Linked DNA regions of Arabidopsis thaliana. The protein of the gene in region 1 interacts with the protein of each later gene in a biochemical or structural test. Each region holds a gene or a part of one and is shown on either strand. Other genes may lie near its edges.

The links.
Region 2: the proteins of AT1G49100 (region 1) and AT2G02780 form a complex in vitro, tested with the Arabidopsis thaliana proteins (one large-scale study listed by BioGRID).

Annotation. Positions count from the first base shown.
Region 1 is NC_003070.9:18,165,405-18,171,726, forward strand, and holds AT1G49100 (Leucine-rich repeat protein kinase family protein), read right to left. Parts: upstream 4,702-6,322; coding exon 4,617-4,701; intron 4,483-4,616; coding exon 3,942-4,482; intron 3,793-3,941; coding exon 3,311-3,792; intron 3,225-3,310; coding exon 3,080-3,224; intron 2,977-3,079; coding exon 2,905-2,976; intron 2,805-2,904; coding exon 2,733-2,804; intron 2,575-2,732; coding exon 2,503-2,574; intron 2,420-2,502; coding exon 2,235-2,419; intron 2,151-2,234; coding exon 1,930-2,150; intron 1,825-1,929; coding exon 1,698-1,824; intron 1,580-1,697; coding exon 1,514-1,579; intron 1,424-1,513; coding exon 1,234-1,423; intron 1,152-1,233; coding exon 743-1,151; 3' UTR 724-742; downstream 1-723. Other genes in the region: AT1G49110 (uncharacterized protein), read left to right, coding at 6,309-6,322.
Region 2 is NC_003071.7:780,996-786,846, forward strand, and holds AT2G02780 (Leucine-rich repeat protein kinase family protein), read right to left. Parts: upstream 3,928-5,851; 5' UTR 3,652-3,927; coding exon 2,391-3,651; intron 2,301-2,390; coding exon 2,179-2,300; intron 2,104-2,178; coding exon 1,857-2,103; intron 1,770-1,856; coding exon 1,576-1,769; intron 1,510-1,575; coding exon 1,472-1,509; coding exon of another isoform or gene 1,447-1,471; exon of another isoform or gene 1,393-1,446; coding exon 1,278-1,392; coding exon of another isoform or gene 1,215-1,277; exon of another isoform or gene 1,189-1,214; coding exon 937-1,188; 3' UTR 679-936; downstream 1-678.

The DNA.
Region 1 (6,322 bases):
AAAGGGGATGGATACAAACGAAAATATAACTTTGTCGTTAAACTGTTGTACATATATTTGTACAGATATTATGCTGTACAGATAATTTTGTCGTTAGACTGTTGTAAAGTGCTTTGTAATAAAAATTTAGAAAATCATGAAACAAAATGCATATCAAATTATAGAGAAGAAAATATAGATTTTTTATTTTATGATAAATTTTAGAAAAATAAAATTTACAAATGAAGATTTTAGTTATTAAACTTAGAAGGGATGAAATGTAGTAAAGAAAGAAAAATAAATTTAAAAAAAAAACAGACCCACTAAACAAACTCTATACACGTCTCTCTCTTTCTCACCCAACAAAAAGCCCTTGTTTGTAATTTCCTTTCTATACCCTCTACCCCACTTTCTTTTCTATCTCACAAGTTTTCTATTTCACAAACAGTAAAACCCTGACTATATTACTAATTGTGAATAGTGACTGTACTACCTTTATAATTAAGTTTTGTACTAGTTTGCAAACAAATTCTTTATTAATCAAAGAAACAAGCAGGACGGATCAGAACTGCAATGTGCCATATCTAGGCCTTTTGTTCTTTATTTGTTATACAGAACTATTACGTACACGGTACATCTATGAAGGAATGCATCAAATTTACCTTCTATTGGCAATAGTAAAATCAAAGAAATCATGCAAAAAATATTTTTGCTTTATGTGAATGTACATAATGTAATGCAACCGATATTTTCCTTGCGCAGTCTAGCGAGCCACAGGGTTCACTTCGGTATCAAAGGTCATGGTCACTTCGCTTGAACTCGTTGAACCCATGTTCTGACTTTTCCCTCCCCTTGAGTTTTCTAAAGTTACACATTCGGTTAGTTCGGTAACAACTTGAGTCATGGTCGGTCTTGTCGCTGAAGAATCATTTACACAAGTCATTGCTAGCTCCACAAACTTCCAAACAGAATCAGAATGGTAATCTCCCTTGAGATTTGGATCTACAATTTTTCTAATATCTCCTTTGGTAATCATTAAATTCACCCATTCTGCTATGTGTGGCTTTTCTCGAGTCCGCTCAATCACGCGCTGATTTGTTATGATCTCCAATAAAACGACCCCAAAACTATACACATCACTCTTCTCTGTCAACCAATTTGTTCTGTAATATCTGCAAGACATTATGTAAAATATGTTGAAATTGTTTCTAATCATTTGAATTAAGAATAAAACAATGTGTGTTAAGTATATACTCTGGATCAAGGTAACCAATAGTTCCTGCAACAACTGTCGAGACATGACTTTCTCCTTCGTTTAGAAATGATCTCGAAAGCCCAAAGTCAGCAAGTTTGGCTTGGAAGTGTTCATCCAATAATATGTTTGCGGTTTTGACATCTCTATGAACAATTGGTGGTCTACATCCTTTATGCAAGTACTCCAAACCTAGTGTCACAAATTCATTTGGACCTATATATGTCATACAAAACTAAAGTTTTAAGAGAATAATAGGTTCATATATAAGGCTTTACTAACCTTGTGCGGCCTCCACTGCTATTTGTAATCTAGTTTCCCACCTTAAAACATCATCACCACGCTTCCCTGGGTGTTTTTTAACCAGGACGTTAACTTATGACCAAGAATGATTTGTTACATGTTTTTGTTCCATCGAAAATGGATTAAGATTAGGTGTCTGGTATAATACTTAAATTTGGTTTACCTGAGAAAAACTCTTTTAAGTCTCCATTAGCCATGTATTCGTAGACAAGAGCCAATTCCTTCCCTTTTTCGCAGTATCCAACTAGGCTTACCAAATTCTTGTGATGAACTCTCAAAAGAAGTTCAACCTAATGAACCACAAAAGCACACATATATTTCAAATCTATGGTCCATATTTATTGAAAACTAACAAAAGACACTTGCATAGAGGAATATTTTGGTGTTATAAGTACCTCTGCTTTGAATTGTTTATGGCCATGTTTTGAAGCGTGTGAGAGTACTTTAACAGCAACTTGCTCTCTACCATTTACATATCCATGATAAACCATACCGAACCCTCCTTTCCCAAGAACACTTCTAAAGTTATTTGTCATTTCAGTAACTTCCACGTAAGTAAACTTTTTCTTTTTTGTTATTCTTGGTGGCTCGGATGATCTTGAAGTTCTACCATTTTCTGCAATATAAAAATTTCATAGATTTTGTATAGTTTCTACTAGTGTATAGTAATTATAAGAGCTTATGCGTTCACCATAAATACCTTTACTCCTTGATGGATTTTTCTTTCTAAGAACCAAAAACAAAACCAATGCAGCTATAAGAATAGCTATTAAAGCAACTGATGAGACAACCGGTACAATTATACTCTTTTTGGGATGTCCACCTTCTCCAGGTTTATTTCCACATGGTCCTTTTGTGCAAAGAAGCTTAGGGTTTCCTTCAACACTATGAATTAAAATTTCATTATATATTTTATTGATCAGACCTATGATAATCATCAACTGAAGATCAATGTAATAAATACTTACTTCAGCTTCAGTCTTTTCTTATCTATAAGCTTTTGAGGAAGTTGACCGCTAAAATTGTTTCCACTTAAGTTTCTGTTAAGGTATAAAAAAGAGATATATAATACAAGGAGACAACTGTTTATCAAAAAAAAAAAAATAATTAAAAAAAAAAATAATAATAATACAAGGAGACAACTTATAAAAATAGTTAAAACACATTATTATGTTTCATACTGTCTTAAGAGACTTACATGATCAAGAGCGATTTTATGTCAGCTAGAAACTCAGGCACATCCCCGGTCAAGTCGTTATTTGACAAATCCCTGCCATTTGATATTGTTTTAAAAGAAAAGCTCCATCACAGAAATCACAGAAGAAAACAGAAAATGTTTGCTTTTGTTCATGTGTTTGTGTGATACTTACAACTCTTGTAAATGGGTCAAATTCTGGATGGAAGGTGAAATGATCCCGGTTAGTCCACTTGAAGACAAGTTTCTAGTGATACATTCATGAAAATAGAATGTTTCAATTGTGATATATTTAGAATAGAGAATTTAATTTTAATTATGATACGGTTATGGTGATTGAAAAATCTTACAAGAAAGTGATTGTTGGTGGAGTGGAACTATTAATATTGCTGCACTTCAAACCAGCCCACAAAAACTGCTCGGGGACACATGGATCTCCTTGCCAGTTAATTCTACTCAATCCATAAGTAAGTTGGATCTTCTTGATAGCAATCACTAGAATTTCATAGTTAATAATATATCAAGAATCAAACACATTCAAAGCTACAATTCATATGTATGAAAAATGTAAATTTACGAACCTTCATCTTGGTTTGTTTCTGATTGAGGAAACTCAACAACAGTAAAAAGTTCAATAGCATTGATGAGAGGAGGAAGAGTTGACTTTGTTGTCTTCACTAGCTGCAAGAGGCAACTTCCTCCTTTACATGTCAATGTCGAATCGGGTTGGGGGCTCATAGTATCTATACTTAACATTTTAGGACTATAAGGTCCATAATAAACTTTTCCATTCAGCAAAACATTGAATTCTCTAGTCTCGTTGGCTAACAAAGTTTGAAGCTCTGCGAAGTGAAGGTAAATGTGAAACCGTGTGGTAGAATCCTCTAAGCTCCATGGAAATTCCCATGTCCCATTATCATTAACACGGGTTGCAGCCGATGCCATTGCACCTTGTGGTAGATCAAAACCATTTGAAGTGTTTACATTGAGAGTTGTGGTTACAATTTTCCACTCCTTATATGAGAATGGGAACCATCTACGGTCGTTGACATCATCGGGGTACCTATACGTATCTTGTATTAGACATAGCTAGACAAAACCTCAAAGATGTTTGGCATCAAAGAAAGATTAAAAATATTTTTATATTTACTCATTATCTTTTATACCAAGATCCAAGAAAAAGATTCATTTCACAAATTAAAGTTTACGTACCGTAAAACGACACCTGAATCATTAAGATAACCTCTAAAATAGAGGAGCAAGGAGCTCCCAATGGCACTAATGTAAGTATCACTTCTCAAAGGTCGTAGCTCCAAGGTTGATATCATCGGTGTAGTTGTTCCTGTCTTAACAAGACAAATATCCAAAGGGGTTGACCTTGACATGTGAATTATCTCCACGAACACACCACCTCCGGTTGCATTAAAATTCACTGTTGTCACCTTATTAGGGCCAATAAATAGATCAAAGTTTGGGACAGTATTAAGACCATCGTAATTTCCATATAAGAAAGCTGCTCTAATCAAGTAATTTGTTCCTTGTGTGACATTCAGGTTATAACAGTTCCGCTCTCCATCTGGAAAGTATCTTAGAGTTACAAAAGCTTTTTCGAAGTTTCGCTCAGAGTCCTTACTGACTCGGCCATTCTTTCCACTCTCGATGAAACTAGAATCCGAAGTGAATGTTAATCCAGTAGATGGATTGGTATATGGAGATCCATCAGGTAACAGACCACAATCCAAAGTGATGAATCCTAATAAAACATTAAACCAAAACAAAAATCCTAATAAGGGGATCAATGTAAAGGAATTATCAGAAAAGGAAAAAACAAATTAAGAAAAAGAACATGAAGAGTGTTTCTTAATTTCAAAGGTTTAAAGATAATACCGTTTGGATCTTGAGCCTGAACAACATGTATAAAAGCAACTGTGATGATGAACACACATAAAACTCCATGAAAATACTTCTCCATTTTTCCTATTTCTGGAGGATAACACGACCCTTGACATCTTTTTAAGTTCCAAAATATTATTTTATATCACGTTCTGATCAAGTGGATACTAGTTAAAGAAACGAAACCCATATATTGTCAACGGCCAAAATAAAATACTAATATGTCTAGAAAACCCTGAACTTTCTAACATTTGCAATTTCACAACATTAACTCAAAACATTAAGGCGCCGTTTTCTAACATTTCAATACAAAATTATTTTTCCTTTAGCCTAATTAGGGTTTTTCCCTATGGGAAACTTTGGCTATAAGTAAGCGTCATTTCAAAGTTCTGTTATCCGACTGGTTTTATTTCAAAGAGCTTAACTCTAAAAATCGTATAAAGTTTGTTGTTCTCTGTGCCAAAAGCAAAAAGAATAGTACTCCCTAATAGATGCTTCTAACAAGTTGGTATAGAAAATTATTCATTTGTGTTTGGGGACATTAAGTTAAGTGATCAACTCCATCTCTTCATATATAGCTGACCCTTACCTTCATAGTTTTCATTCGATGAACATATATATATGCGGATAAGGTAAGTTAATACTGCGAGTGATTATAATTAGTTTTAAAGCATATGGAGAACATGTCAACGAGAGATATAGAATGTTATTTTGAGACGTGTATCCAACTCTAATGATTCTGATTTTTTTTATGAAAAAGAAGGTTGAAAACCACCCAATTTTCAAAAAAAAATTTTAAAAAAGAGAAGTTAGAAAAAAGATGATGATAGTTCACTTGTTCCAACTAGAGAGGCAATCTCCCAAATGGAGATCAAGATCTATGGATGCGGTGTTTGGTTACACGGCAAGAATACTCCATTTAGACTCTAACCACACTGGTCAGACGTATTAGAAAATATGCAATCCTTGAACAACGTTTAAAAAAATAATTGAATTAATGCTAACATTTGATTTAGTTCTATAAAAACAGAGGAATTTTCACACATGCAGTTTAAAATTCCTATATGATAACAATTAAATGTATCTTTTACTTGCAATATACAATATTTTATTTCATGATTTGGTTTTCGTCTAGGAAGTTTTAAAACAAAAACAACATACTATTAATTAATCTCTAATATATTATGTAACATATTAACGACACTATGACAAAGCCCTACAAGCCAGGTTTGCATCGTGTGGCTAATGAATCTCTTTCAGAAGTCAGCTACACTCAAAAATCTGTTTTTATTTCAAATGCTATGCTAAATTATAAAAACAGCTTATATATATACAAAAAGCTATATTTTTTTTAATACAATTTAGTAACATTTTATTTTTAAAATATACTACAGAATTATATTTAATCCATAAATAACTTAAGTCTAAACTACTCGGTTCTTTCGTTTTCTTTATGGGAAAATGAAACAGCGTGCTTCTTATCCCTCTTGGGAAAATGAAGCAGCGTACTTATTAAGGCAGCAACTGAATAGTCTACTTTTTTCACACACTCGCCTCAATTCAGTGTCATTATATAATTTAGTATCTTCCCATATACGCGATAGCGTGTTAGCCAAGGCAAACTCACTAGGGATTTGTCCTCTAAGCCACGAGATGAATCTCCGTCAAATCTACGAAGTTTAATGGATGAAAACAAAAGC
Region 2 (5,851 bases), on another chromosome or scaffold:
ATAAATGGTTCATAGACACATAAACAAATACCCCACACGCCAAGCTCATCGAAAGTGCCAATATCCATGACCGTCGCTGCGGTGGCTTCTCGACGCCATGGAACGTGCGTCTACGAGAGCTCACATATCAAACTCGAATGAAGGAAGCTGGTGTGTATGTGTTTGTGATCATCGAGCGTTTGTCATGATCCTGTCTTCTTGTGCCTATCTATCTTGGAGGCTCAAGAGATTGGTCAAGAAGTAAGAAGCTAGTAAAAGCCAATGGTATTGTAACAAAATTTGTTTTGTGAGCGAAAATGCATTGATCAGTAGTATGTATGCTAGGTGAGGTAACTTGGCAAAGCCACTTGCTGTTTTCGACATCTTACCTAACCTGGGTATAGCTATGGTTATTATAGTTATGTGGAACACAAGCACTTGTTTTTAGCTAGCGATACAAGTCATAACAAAGGAAGTTTATAGAATGCTGGATGAGGTAGAGACTTCTGTATTGGAGATTGCCCGAAACACGGAGTGTGGTTGAGATGGAGAGGTTAGACGTGAGCATAGTGAGAGGTTTGCAGTAACTTTTGGGATTTTCTATAGTATTCCAGGCACAGAGATTCTTGTTATAAAGAACCTGTGAAGGTTTTTGAAGATTTTGATGTCTTCATCAAGCAGGTTAGCAAGATTGTAGACTGCTGATTTGTTTTAAGAGATGCACGAATGTTCAGCGAAAGCAAGCGCGAATACAACAGAAGAGTCTGCAATGTTGTCGAGCAAAGCTGGACACACTCTCTTACATGTCTTTGTGTGTTTTTCAACTCCTTTTGCTTTTTATTCACAGATTACTAAGTTAGCTAATAAAAGATATTTCAGGTAGTCCATGAAACTACATCTTGACTTGTTTGAAACTTATTATTGTTTCTACAGTTTTTGCCTCTCTTTATGATCATTTCATTCATATATTGCTTTCATGGATGATTCATGATTCCCACTGCTTGGTCTCCATCCTTGCTGCACTTGAATTGTATACTGTAGATTCCACACAACGTCTTCTATGGAAGGACGCTTGCTCTGATCTTCGCAAAGACAGTTGATAGCAAACTCTACTGTCGTCCTCAACGACTCATAAGCATATGATCCTTTAACAGATGGATCTGCTAAGCTGCTCAATACTGATGGTTCATCTCTCAAACCGTTCTCCAGCTGCAGGAAATAATAACATTGAGGTTCTAAATTTGTAAGCCGTGTCGGATTCTTAAAGATGAAAAGGTTCTGACTGAAACAGAACAGACCTGAAGCTTCAAACTTCCCATCTCTGAAGATCCTGCAGCAACTACTTTCCCTGTGATGATTTGTAGTAGTATCACTCCAAACTGGTACACATCTTCTTTCTCTCTATCTTCATTACTGCACATTATTCATTAACAAGTTTCAAAATTTGATAGAAGAGAACACATTTGATCATATCTTAAGAAACAACAACAACCTCCGAGGTTTTTTGGCTTGAGGCCTCTCTTCTCCAACCTAGAAATGCCATTAAATTTTCTTAGATTCAATTAATAGAAGAAGAAATAAAACAAAGTTTTATACCTTGGATGGTAAAGGAATAGTATAGCCACTGATTTTTACTGTGAGTGTTTCATCAAGCATGATGTTCTCTATCTTCAAATTGTTCCCAAAGATTCCTGGTGCTACTCCCATATGCAAGAACTGTATCCCTCGAGCGACTCCTATTGCTATCGCCATTCTCTGAGGCCATTTCAGTACCTCTTTCTTCCTACAGTCTGATCACAAAAATTCCCATAATGAATAACCATTTGAGTCTATGGAAACCTGAATATATATTCTAATCTTTTTCAGGTTATTATTACTTGTGAGAAAGTCCCGCAATGATCCACTAGAGATGTATTCTTGAACAATGAAGATGGTGTGTCCAGCGTGTTGATTGTGGTCTTGGTTACTGGCAATGGAGTGTCCAAGAACGCTAACCAAATGCATATGCCTTAGCTTTGATAAAACTTCCATCTGTTGAGCTAAGCTTTGTGGCAAGCTCTTCTGCTTCAGCTTGATAACTCGCACTGTCACTGGTATGCCTTCTCTTAGACAACCTCTATACAGCTGTTCGAATACCAAATATATTAAGTAATCTATTAGGTTCGTCGCCAGAGTCTCAAGTCAAGTTTTTGTTTTTACCTGTTCGCAGAACAGGCTAGCTGCATCAAAGTCGTTAGTCGCTTCTTCCAGTTCCTCCAAGGAGAAAACGCGGTACGGTGGCAAACCAATCACTGCAGATCTCATTGTCTGTGGTACACGTCCTACACTCAGAAAGATCCTGTTAATGGTTTTTGCTAGAGAAAGACTCAGTTTCAAGTGTCCAAGTATTAATAAGATAAGTCATTGTTTACTTGAATCTGGTAATGACTTAGAGCTGGCAGTTGTGGTGCTGCAAACAGAGACTTTATCAGAGGCATGTCTCTCATTGTTGCTGTTGTTCACTTCAAAAGGATCATCTTCTGATCTTGATCTTCTTCTTTTGAGGGCAATCAAAACCAACAGAACCAAAATTGCTGCAAGGATGATCACACCGATGATTATCAAAATCACTAACCCGAGTTTGATTCTTGCAGAATCTTTATCTTTAGCCTTGGGGATAGGTTCCACAGCTATTGCCTTGCTTGCTTGGTTTTGACAGAAAGAAAGCGGACGCTGATACTTCGCGTTAGGAGTGCCAATCAAAGACAAGCAGTTGAATGAGAAAAGCACTGTCTGATTACTGAAACTCTTTGAAGAGTAGCAAGAAGGAAGCTTTCCAGTTAAAAGATTGTGAGACACGTCTAAAGTTATAATCTTTGAGGAGGTGCAAGAAGAATTTGGAAGTGACCCGCTTAACAGATTCTGATCCAAACTGAGAATTTGAAGAGAAGGAATCGAAAACAGAAACTCTGGAATCGACCCGGTGAATTCGTTGGAAGAAAGGTCTAAACTTTGAAGGTTATTCAGCTTCTTGATCTGTTCTGGAATCTTGGATCTAAAGGAGTTGTTCTTCAATGAAACAGTGGTGAGCTTACTTGGGAGTGAAGGAACTTCAGGACCGAGTTTATTACCTCCCAAATCCAGCTCTTGAAGATTTGATAATCCTCTGAGATCATCAGAGACAAAACCCCAGAACATATTGTCTCTTAAAACAAGGCTTTTCAGATTCTTCAAAGACACAATCTCTTCTGGAATCTTCCCAGAGATGAAATTAGAGCTAAGATTGAGAGACTCAAGAGACGGTGATAGCTTAGTGATGATCTTAGGAGAAAGAGAACCAGAAATTCCGAGAGAAGTAAGAGACAAAGTCTTTAAGCTCGATAGTTGTGTAAGAAGAGTGAAGAGTTTATGAAAACTTCCAGAGAGCTTACTAGTTCTGTTCCCGGTGACGGTTAACTCTGTTACGTGACCATGGAGGCAGATGATTCTCAAGGAAGGAGACGGACGAATGTGACAGAAGTTGGTTGTATCAGTCCATGATTGAAGAACCTGTGGATATTGTAGTTGCTTCTGGATTTCAAGAAGAGTTTGTGATTCACTTGAAGCTACCTGAGACTCAGAGAGTACTGGAAGAAGGAAAATAAGAAGAAGAAAAGTGAAGGAAGATAAATGGATTTGAAGAGAAATCTGCATAGTGAAGATGTGTTTTGCCTTTAGAGAAACAGAAACTCACTGAAAGTTATCATTTTTCTAGGAACAAAGACAGATCTATAGGTAGTGTAGAGGAAAACTTTGGATCAAGAGAAGAAGAAGAAGAAGTAAATGAAAGTAGAAAAGCCAATTAAGGTGGAGGCAATAAATGCAATCTTTAAGTTCTTAAACTTGGTTTGGTTGTTTGTTCATTACTGCACATTGCACAACCTCAACTTGACAGACTGTTTTGCAATGAATCCAAGAAGATGAAATGTTTATTTATTTGATTTGATTACTACTATAACAAATTAACAATAAGAACTTGTATTTCACATGATTTTTGCTTTGTTTTATTAGTAAAACAAGTGCTTTTGGTTATATATGATTGATCAGATAAGATTATAGAGATGTTTCATTACTTGTCGGTGATAGGTAATGAGGATTAAGAAATTTATGTCGTGTTTTGTCTTCGAGAGAGAGAGAGAAGCCATTAGGTTTGTGTCTTTTCTTTAAAAGTGTGGTTAGAGATTCTACCAAATGTCGAGCTGTTTCTTTTATTCTGATGAACTGTTCATTTACTAATGTTAGAAAATTTGAATGGATTTTATATGATCAAGCACATCTGCACATGCAAACGGCCTTGGAATAATCGTCACTGCGAAAGTATCATTTAATATTTTCTGCAACAGACATTTTTTTTTTATCGAAAAATATGCATTTAAAATTCAATTATTTAATTTTTATTAAAATTCAATTATTTAATTTTATTAAAATTCAATTACAAATCAAGTTTGACAAAAAAAAAGAGAGGTTATTTTGGGCTTCATACGTGTAACATTTAGCCCGTATATTATATATAATACGGTTAGGCCCAAAATTGTACAACCTTTGAGTCCATATATATTTCCAAATATTTTAGTTTCTATATGATTTTTTTTTTTTTTTTTTTTTTGACAAGTAATTATACAAAAAATGATTTACTTAACATTGGGACATATATGTACTATGCTTATTCCTTGTGAATGCTAATACAGTAAATTATTTATAAACTAATCCTCGATAAATTACTATTTTTACAAATTAATAAATTCTTGACGTTTTCAATGTAATAAATAACACAAATCAATGAAATTATAAAATAATAAGTTTTTAAAAACTCTTACGTAAACATATGATCTCATCAATATCATAAATTAATAATTTTACACTTATTAATATATATATATATATATTTAATTAAATTAGTGGGATTTAACTCTAGTATTGTTCATTTTTCTTAAATTTGTATAAAATTTTTAGTAGAGTTCATTTCTAATATTTTTACTATATTGAACAAAGTGTTTTTTGTTTACTAACTTAACAATTGGTTTTTTATTTGTAATTTATTTTTGAAAGACATTGATTATAAAGACAAAAACTACTTCTCACATAGAAATTTTAAAAAATTACAAAATTAATAAAATCTCTCTATAAGATTTATTAATAAATTAATACCTTTATAAATTAATTAGAATTTATCGGTTCCGAGATTATTAATTTATTAAGGTTTAAAACTGAGCCTATAAACAAAAGAGGAGGAACAAGATCGTATTTCTAGGGTCTCAAACTACAAAAATGTAATGTATGAATTCATTGTAATCTATTTCAGTTTGTTTTTTACTTAGCTATTTAGGATCCTAGAATTTATTTATGAGCTTCTTTTGATTAAACAAAACTTTCGATTATTGTGTTTCAAGAAAAGTAAACTTCTCGGATCCTAAAACTTTGATTAGACGTCATAACATGTTTTTTATTCAGAATCTGATTTGCAGCTTTTTTGCCTTTCATTTACTGTTTTACACTAAATATATAGACAATCATCAAAATTTAAAATCTTCTATTTAGTTTTAGCTCATTTATTAAAGATCAACTGTACAAAAGTTGTAAAACAAATTCCAGTGAATGATGGTAATAAGAAATAACTTAAAATGATTATAAAGTATTACATGTTTATAGCTAAACCACATGATATGACACTTAACATTCTAATAGTTTAATTTGAATTTGGATGGTGACAAAATGATGACTCTAATACGATTTAGTTTATCTTTTGTTAATTATGTGTGTCTATCTTTCTTAGATATATTTATGTGAATGAAATAATTATTTATATGTTTTTATTATTTGATTAAAATCAATAAAATTTGTTGTAACTTAGAAA